Ovis aries: one gene and its partner. The protein of the gene in region 2 purifies or fractionates together with the protein of the main gene of each other region. This does not show direct contact. Links are inferred from orthologs where the notes say so. Each region holds a gene or a part of one and is shown on either strand. Other genes may lie near its edges.

Evidence for each region.
Region 1: the proteins of IRF2 (region 2) and IRF2BP1 purify together in Homo sapiens (affinity purification with mass spectrometry; 4 studies listed by BioGRID and IntAct, counting the BioPlex papers as one, with this or other methods). This does not show direct contact. The link is inferred for Ovis aries from reciprocal best matches to the Homo sapiens genes IRF2 and IRF2BP1.

The regions. Positions count from the first base shown.
Region 1 is NC_056067.1:53,190,048-53,194,037, forward strand, and holds IRF2BP1 (interferon regulatory factor 2-binding protein 1), read right to left. Parts: upstream 2,809-3,990; 5' UTR 2,489-2,808; coding exon 734-2,488; 3' UTR 316-733; downstream 1-315. UniProt on the Homo sapiens protein: Acts as a transcriptional corepressor in a IRF2-dependent manner; this repression is not mediated by histone deacetylase activities. May act as an E3 ligase towards JDP2, enhancing its polyubiquitination. Represses ATF2-dependent transcriptional activation.
Region 2 is NC_056079.1:14,090,894-14,094,919, reverse strand, and holds the start of IRF2 (interferon regulatory factor 2), read left to right. Parts: upstream 1-1,226; coding exon 1,227-1,313; intron 1,314-4,026. UniProt on the Homo sapiens protein: Specifically binds to the upstream regulatory region of type I IFN and IFN-inducible MHC class I genes (the interferon consensus sequence (ICS)) and represses those genes. Also acts as an activator for several genes including H4 and IL7.

The DNA of each region.
Region 1 (3,990 bases), on a different chromosome or scaffold from region 2:
CTCCCCCTCGGGGGCACTGTGTCCTCTACCTTCCGGGGATGGGCCAGACGGGAAACCTAATTCCCGAGCTTGGCTGTGGCTACCATTCAAGAGCCATCCCCTTCCCCCGCCCGGCTCCCCGCGTGAGCCTTAGTTCTGGCATCTGGAAAACGGGCTGATGACTAGAAGGCTAGGCCAGCCTTTGTAAAAACAGCCGGTGAGCCCACCTGAGTGAAGGGCGCCACCTGGAGGCTACAACGCGACGTCCTCTCCCTTGCAGGTTCAGTTTAGTCCCAAAGGGGGCGCAGCATCGCACACAACTAAGGGACCAAGAAGGAAAAAACCCATCTTTCGGTTTATTGAAGGGGGGAAAGGGGGTAAGATGGGGGGGGGGGGGCGGCAATAAAATGCTTTTGCTTCATTTATAAAGAGCGAGATTTCAGGAGGCCCCTTCTCAAGGAGGAGGGGGCCACCTCTCCCTCAACTACAAGCAGCAGCAAAGCCAAGCCAAGGAGGGGAGAGGGAAACCAGAGGGGTCAGGGGACCCCAAACACCCCCTCGGACAGCTTTCTCCCCCCACCCTCAATGCATCTACCCCAGGGGACCCATCTGGGATAAGGAAGTGGGTATGTACACAGGTGAGGGAGGCACAGGCCTGGGTAGGGGAGGGAATAATTTATCCGCAGCAGCGGTGGGTGGCAAGGGGTGGAGGGGGGCGGGGGTGGATAGGCAGTAGACTGGTGGCAGTAGTGGCCTAGGGGTCCCGTTCTTTCTTAACCTTGATGTCTCCAGCAAGAATGGTGGCGATCTCTCCCTGCATGAAGGCCCAGGGGACAGAGGAGCCCACTAGCGGGCACTTGTCTCCGCTGGGGCAGTACACCTCTCCAGCAGGGCCCTGAGCCTTGATGAACTCGCGGGAGCAGGGAAAACAAAACTTATGTCCGGGCACTGAGGGGCACTGGACGAAGTGGGTGTCTTCCAGACGCTCCCGGCAGAGGGTGCAGCACAGGGGGGCCCCAGGGGTCGCCCCGGTGCCACTACCACCCCCGCTAACAGCTTCCGCCCCTGCTGTGGGGCTCACTTCTGCCTCACCGTTGCGGGCCACTAGACGATGCTGGGCTGGAGGTGGGGCCGTGGAGGAGGCGGCGGGGCTGGCACCCCCGGCGCGCACAGGGCCCCCACTCCCGGCAGGGTCCTTGGGAGAGTGGCCCAGGGCCTCGGCTACGTTCTTCAGGGCGGCGATAGGGGAGGGCACACCAGGGGCATCAGCGGAGAATGGGCCACCGGGTGCCACCCAGTGCCGCTGCTGCTGCTCCTCTGTGGTCATCTTCCCAGCTGCCTCGCCCTCGGGCTCAGGGGAGGCCTTGCGACGGCGTGGAGTGGGAGCCAGATTCCGGGATGGGGCTCGTGGGGGAGGGCCGCAGAGAGCTGCAGGGGCCGGCTCTGGATACTGCTGGGGCAGGGCCTCGGCGGGTGCTGGCTCGCGGAAGCTTCGGACCCCATCCGTTAGCAGCTCTCCCAGCTGGCGCCATTCCCCAGAGCCGTGCCGGCGTTCATATTCGAGGTACTTGAAGCCTGATGAGGCCAGCGCCTTGCCCGGCTCGCGCAGAGCATCATGAAACATCTGGCGAGCGACTGCCAGGACTCCCGCGTACACGTTGCCAGAACCACAGGGGTATTCGGTGAAGAGCTTCAGCTCGAACTCGTAGCCTGGCGGGCGGGCAGTAGCATCGAAGGCGAACACACGTCCCACCAGCCCGTGATCCTTCTTGAAACGGACATTGAAAGGGGCGCAGGCGGACAGCGCCAGCAGTTGTTCCCGCACGGCTTTGGGGCGCCCGTGCCATTCCTCTGCCCGGCCCCTCATGGCCTCGTTCAGTTCTGCCAGACAGTCCGCATTCCTCTGTTGCTTCTCCTTCTCGAAATCGGAGCCAAAAGCTGGACGGGCAGGACTCAAGCCGGGTGCCAGCGTCAGCCCTCGGCTTCCCAGGCCAGACACCGCAGCTGCTAGCAGCCCGGGGGGCACCAAGCCGGGCATGGAGCCAAGCAGGGCCCTTCGCGCCCCCTCCGCCACAGCCTCTTCACGGCCCAGTCCATTGGCCAGGCGGGACCCCAGGGTGTACTCCAGGGCGGGCGAGGGCAGGGGGAGGCGGCCCGACGATGTGGCCCTGTCATAGCGGTCCTGGCCGGAGACAGCGCCGCCTGTCCCCGACGGCTGGGGCTGGGCCTGTGGAGGCGGCAACTGAGGGCCCTGTGCGGCGGCGGCAGCCAGGTCCTTAGTGGCCGGGTGTTTGAGGGCTGGGGGCCCCGGAGAACGGCCCTCGGGGAGCACGTGGCTGCGCTTGAGCTGGCGGGCGGCATCAATGAGCAGCTCGATGCGATCCGCGCCCTCGAAGTTCACGCATCCGCGGCACACGGCTTCACTGAAGTCCCACACCATGGCCCACGGCATCTTGGGCAGGTCGCACAGGTAGCACCACTGGCGGCGGGACGCCTGCACGGACGCCATAGCCCCCGCACGCGCCCGTTCGGGCTCTCGCCTTCCACCCGCCGCCGCCGCCGTTCAATCCGCGCCGCCGCCGTTTGATTCGCGTCCCCGGGACCGCGCGAGCCACCGCCAGGCCTTTCGCTCGGCCTCCCAGTGGATCCAGGCCCGGCCCCCCTTCCCCGCCCCCTGGGCCCTAAGCCTTTTTCCTCACTCCCGCCTCCTCGAAAAGACTGGCAGAGGCACGTCGGCGCCCCCGCCGGGTCCAGGATCCGGGCCGCGGCGCACAGCTCGGGCCCCGCGATGGGCCGCGGGCGCCGCCGCCTCGGGCTCCCGCCTCTCCCGCCGCCGCAGCCGCCGCCGCCTCTTTCTGCCCCAGAGGCCGCTTCGCAGGGAAAGTTACATAACGCACCGGCAAAGCCTTCTGGGAAACGTAGTCCCGCAGGGGCCTGTTCTTAAAGGGGACCGCAGGCTGCAGGAGGGTTGGGGCTCGCTGCCTCTCCGCTGCGCAACCGTGATTACTCCTCGCCGCGGGGGAGGGAGTTTGGTCGCTCCAAGCAGCTGGAGACCAAGGTTGGGGGCGAGGATGTGATACGGATGGTGAGAGCCACCGAGGATTCAGAAATTGCGGGAGGTGGACAGGCATCCGGTTTCTACTCCGACTTGCTGTGCAACTTTAGGCAAGTCTTGCCTTCTCTGAGATTCAGTTCCCCGCCCTTCAAAAGGTGGGCCGGCTACCGGTTACTGAAGGCAGCAGTTCGTGGGACGGGGGCGGAGGGGCCTTAACTGGAAGGTTTCAGGGTAGGGGGGCGGACAGGAAGCTGGCGACTCAAGCGTTGGGTAGGGCTGTCCACTTGGCACTTCGTCTTGCCTAGAATCTTGGATATCAGATTCTTGACTGGGGCAAGCGAAAACCGGAGAGAAGAGAGGACTCAAGGTCTCCGCGTCAGTTGCTTTATCTGCCAAAGGGAGTGGTCGAATGCCCCTGTTCCAGTTCAGCCGGCGCGCTCTGGTCTCCAAAGGGTTACACTGTCAGTTTCTGCGCACCCCGCAGAACTTCACTACAATTCCCGAAATGCTCCGCGGGGCCGACAAACCGACGCACTTCCGCCGCCTGAGAGGTTGATTGAGGCCTTCACGATTCCCGCTGTCTGTCCACAACCCACCCCCCACCTCAATTTCTGGGGTTTCGGAGCGCCCGGTTGAGAGGAGCTCTCGACCTCGACGGCTCACTAATTTGGAAGGAGAAAATGAGGCCAGAGATAGCAAGAGTTGGAAGTGGGGCATAGTTTCTGTGGAGAGCGAGAACCAGACCTCGTTTTTCCAACCTTGAGTGCTTACTACCTGATAGGCAAAAGCAGGCTTTTGGGACCCTCGTGCTTCCCGGCGATGGAACGCTGCAGGGCATGCTTGGAGAAGGGGGCATGTGGAGGAGAGACAGGTTTCCAGATTCTAACCTACATCAGCCTCTTTTCTCTAGGCCTGGGTCTGTTGTTCTCCAGTCGCTAAGCCTTGTTTGACTCTTT
Region 2 (4,026 bases):
CAGAATATCCAGAGCTCATTTCTGGAGGAGAAAATGAGCCAAGGATAGATGAGGCAGCCAAGAGTTGAAAACAGCGTCGTGTCCCACTGTCCATGAAGTCCTGCGGAATTGGAGACTTGGTTGCCATTGTCTCTGCTTTTGCGTCGAATGCAAACTTGTGTGTAAATAGGCTGAAGATGAGTGAGTGATCCCGCTCTGGGTATATTTAGGTGGGCAGGGGATAGACTGTGTAGAAATGCATCTGGAAGGAGGAGGGAGAGGTGTTTTGTGGGCCGGTGGAGGAAAGGTGACCCCAGGTCAGAGGGGACTCATGGCAGTGGAGAAAGACCCTTGAGGGAGCACTCTGAATAAGAGATGCTTTCACATAAAAGTGGCGCTGAAGCCGGAGGAGGAGGCTGGTGTGTTCTGTGGGGAGACAGACTACATCAGGAGGGGATGGCTAATTGATGAAAGAACTTGAAACCAAATGAACTGATATCTTAAGAGCTTGCCCAAACGTGCCTGTGTTGGGATTTCGAAGCTTGTCAGTAACTCAGATATCCCAAAGGAATGGCTACTGTGTCCACCCTTGGCTCTTTAGAAGATGATGTCAAAGGGTACTTGTAAAACACTGGTCCTCTGGGTACCTGATACACTGAAGGTATCTGCCGTAAACAAACACGGGTTGGGAGGGGGTAAGACCCAGCCTTAGGGTTTCCCAGGTGGTACAGTGGTAGAGAATCGGCCTGCCGATGCCAGAAACACAGGAGATGCAAGTTGGATCCCTGGTTAGGAAGATCCCCTGGAGAAGGGAATGGCAACCCACTGCAGTATTCTTACCTGGATAATCCCATGGACAGAGGATCCTGGCGGGGTACAGTCCATAGGGTCCCAAAAAGTTGGCCGCAACTGAGCACGCATGCGCAAAACCCAGCGTTAGGCATCCGAGTCCTCTGACTGGCTGCGTTTCTGCATCATGGGACCCTCTTAGCTGAGAGCAGGAGTGGCCCTCACTCACCATCATCCCACGGAGACAGCCTCTCGGGAATGAGTGGGGCAGGATGCTCCAGGGCAAAGCCCCTAATATGCTCTCATAGCCCCCCGGCCTCTGGGTACACATAAGCTGTGCGATTTTGAGAAAGAAGAGTGTACAGTCAGTCAGGCATGGTGTCAGACTTCACCTGCGGACGTGACAGTGAGCAGCAAAAATGCCTGATGTTGTATTTGCTTTTCTGCAGAAAGACACCATGCCGGTGGAAAGGATGCGTATGCGCCCGTGGCTGGAAGAACAGATTAACTCAAATATGATACCAGGGCTGAAGTGGCTTAGCAAGGTAAGTGTGTGCATGTGTGTGTGTATGTGAGTGTGTGTGTGTGTGTGTGTCTGTGAGAGAGAGATTCCTACTAAAAGCAGCTGTGTGTGGAGTGCTGCAAGTAAAATTGTTCTTTGTGTTCCAAATAGTATGCTTATTTATTACCGAAACTAACCGAGCAAAAGTGATTATGAAAATATCAAAGAATCATAAAAAGAAGATTTATCATCACTTCAGACTGTAGCCTTGACCCCGAGTTAAGGCTCTGGTCTCATGGATGACTGTTGTGGGAAGCGTCTGGCTGTATTTCTACTCAGTGCTTCTTACCCTTCTCCATCTCTGAATATTCTTTCTTGCTTCTCCTGGTTTTCTAGGGTTGGAGGACATGGAAACTCTAGGGCTTTCTATTGGGAAAGGAGCATGTTGATTTTCTTTTCAGTATTCTCTACATAAAGAAAACTTTTGTTTTTGTCTTAAAAAAAAAGATTTTACTTTTATTATCAAACTCTTGTTTGTGTGCCTACCTGTCCGAAAAAAGCAGTATTCTGTCCTTTACAACCCCCTCCCACATATGTACATAAATACTTTCTTACTTTCATCAACCTCAAAACTCTCAGTTTAGTTGATCCTGACTCTTAGGGGATGAATCAGGAAGCCATTGGATGTAAAAATAAAGAACGCCTGGAAATACTCAGTTATAATCTAGAAAAGCAATGACTGCATCATACTTTCTTAAGACAGCCCAAGAGAGATTTCTCTCTCACTACTAGGAGTATTACAGTTCTTCTGAGCAAGTGTCTTTTTCCTCTTCTGCCTCCCCGTGTGTTTTTAATCTTAAGGACACGATGAATAATTTAGCAGGTCAGGCTTTACCTTTGCATCACGTGCCAAGAGCTGACAGCCAGATTGTGACTGCTCCTAACAAGTATACACGATATTGTTCAGCCTGATTTTTGTATGAATATTGTTCCTTACTTCATTTTTATCTTCTCAGATATCTCTCAATCTTATCTCTTTTTTTCTTCTTCCTCATTTACCTATTTTTTCATTTATTTTAAATGTAGTGGTGTATTATATTTGAATGTTATCTATTTAAATGAGTCCCTTCTGAAACAAGATGGCATAGAAGTAAACAGAAATATTTTAAGTAAAGCATATGCTCATTTCAAATGACCTGTCCTATATTCTAAGGTCTTAGAGCAAACAGTATATTTTTCCAGCCTTGCTGTGTCTGTATGTAGTATTTGAGGTTTGTATCCCAGAGAGGCTTTGTAATTAGCCTCTTCCAAGGAAATAAGTCATCAGTTCAGTTCAGTCACTCAGTCGTGTCCGACTCTTTGCGACCCCATGGACTGTAGCACGCCAGGCCTCCCTGTCCATCACCAACTCCCGGAGTTCACTCAAACTCATGTTCATCTAGTCGATGATGCCATCCAACCATCTCATCCTCTGTCATCCCCTTCTCCTCTCGCCTTCAATCTTTCCCAGCATCACTGTCTTTTCAGATGAGTCAGTTCTTTGCATCAGGTGGCCAAAGTATTGGAGTTTCAGCTTCAGCATCAGTCCTTCCAATGAACACCCAGGACTGATCTCCTTTAGAATGGACTGGTTGGATCTCCTTGCAGTCCAAGGGACTCTCAAGTGTCTTCTCCTGCACCACAGTTCAAAAGTTCTTCGGCGCTCAGTTTTCTTTATAGTCCAACTCTCACATCCATACATGACTACTGGAAAAACCATAGCTTTGACTAGACAGACCTTTGTTGGCAAAGTAATGTCTCTGCTTTTTAATAAGCTGTCTAGGTTGGTCATAACTTTTCTTCCCAAGAGCAAGCATCTTTTAATTTCATGGCTGCAGTCACCATCATCAGTGATTTTGGAACCCCCAAAAATAAAGTCGTTGTTTCCACTGTTTCCCCATCCATTTGCCATGAAGTGATGGGACCAGATGCCATAATCTTAGTTTTCTGAATGTTGAGTTTTGACAAGTCATCAGGTAGATCTTTTTGTCGTTTTACAGACAAGGAAATCAAGGCTCATAGGTTTAGGAGGAGTGTATTCTGAAGAACTGGTAATATTGCCTGTATTGATTTAGGATGTGAAGTTAAAGCAGATGTTCCCGATTTCTGAAGAGAAGTCGGTTGTTTGCCTTTGCTTTTTCCTTTTCAAAACCCACCCACCCGTCTGGGCTAGCTTGACCCAGTGGCGTGCTTCAAACGTCACCACGTCTCCTGCAAGTGGGCTGTTAATACACTGCAGTGTGTTGTTGTCTAGTAGGTTGAACAGTAGCCCCCCTCAAAGATATGTCCACATCCTGACCCCCAGAACCCGTGGTTGTGACCTTATTTGGAGAAAGGATCTTGGCAGATGTAACTAACGTAAGGATGTCGATGAGATCATCCTGGATTACCTGGTGGGCTGATCCAGCGACAAGGGTACTTATAAGACACAGAAGAGGGACTTCCCTGGCAGTCAAGGGGTTAAGATAATTCACCTTCCAGTGCAGGGGCTGTAGGTTCAATCCCTGGTCAAGGAGCCAAGAGCTCACATGCCTTTCAGCCAAGAAACCAAAACATAGAACAGAAGCAATATTGTAACAGATTCAGTGAAGACTTTAAAATAATGGTCTGCATAAAAATAAAAACAAAAAAATCTTTTTTAAAAAAAAGACACAAATGAGGGGACACACCCACAGAGGGAAGGGCCAAGTGGAGAAGAAGGCGGGGACTAAAGTCTG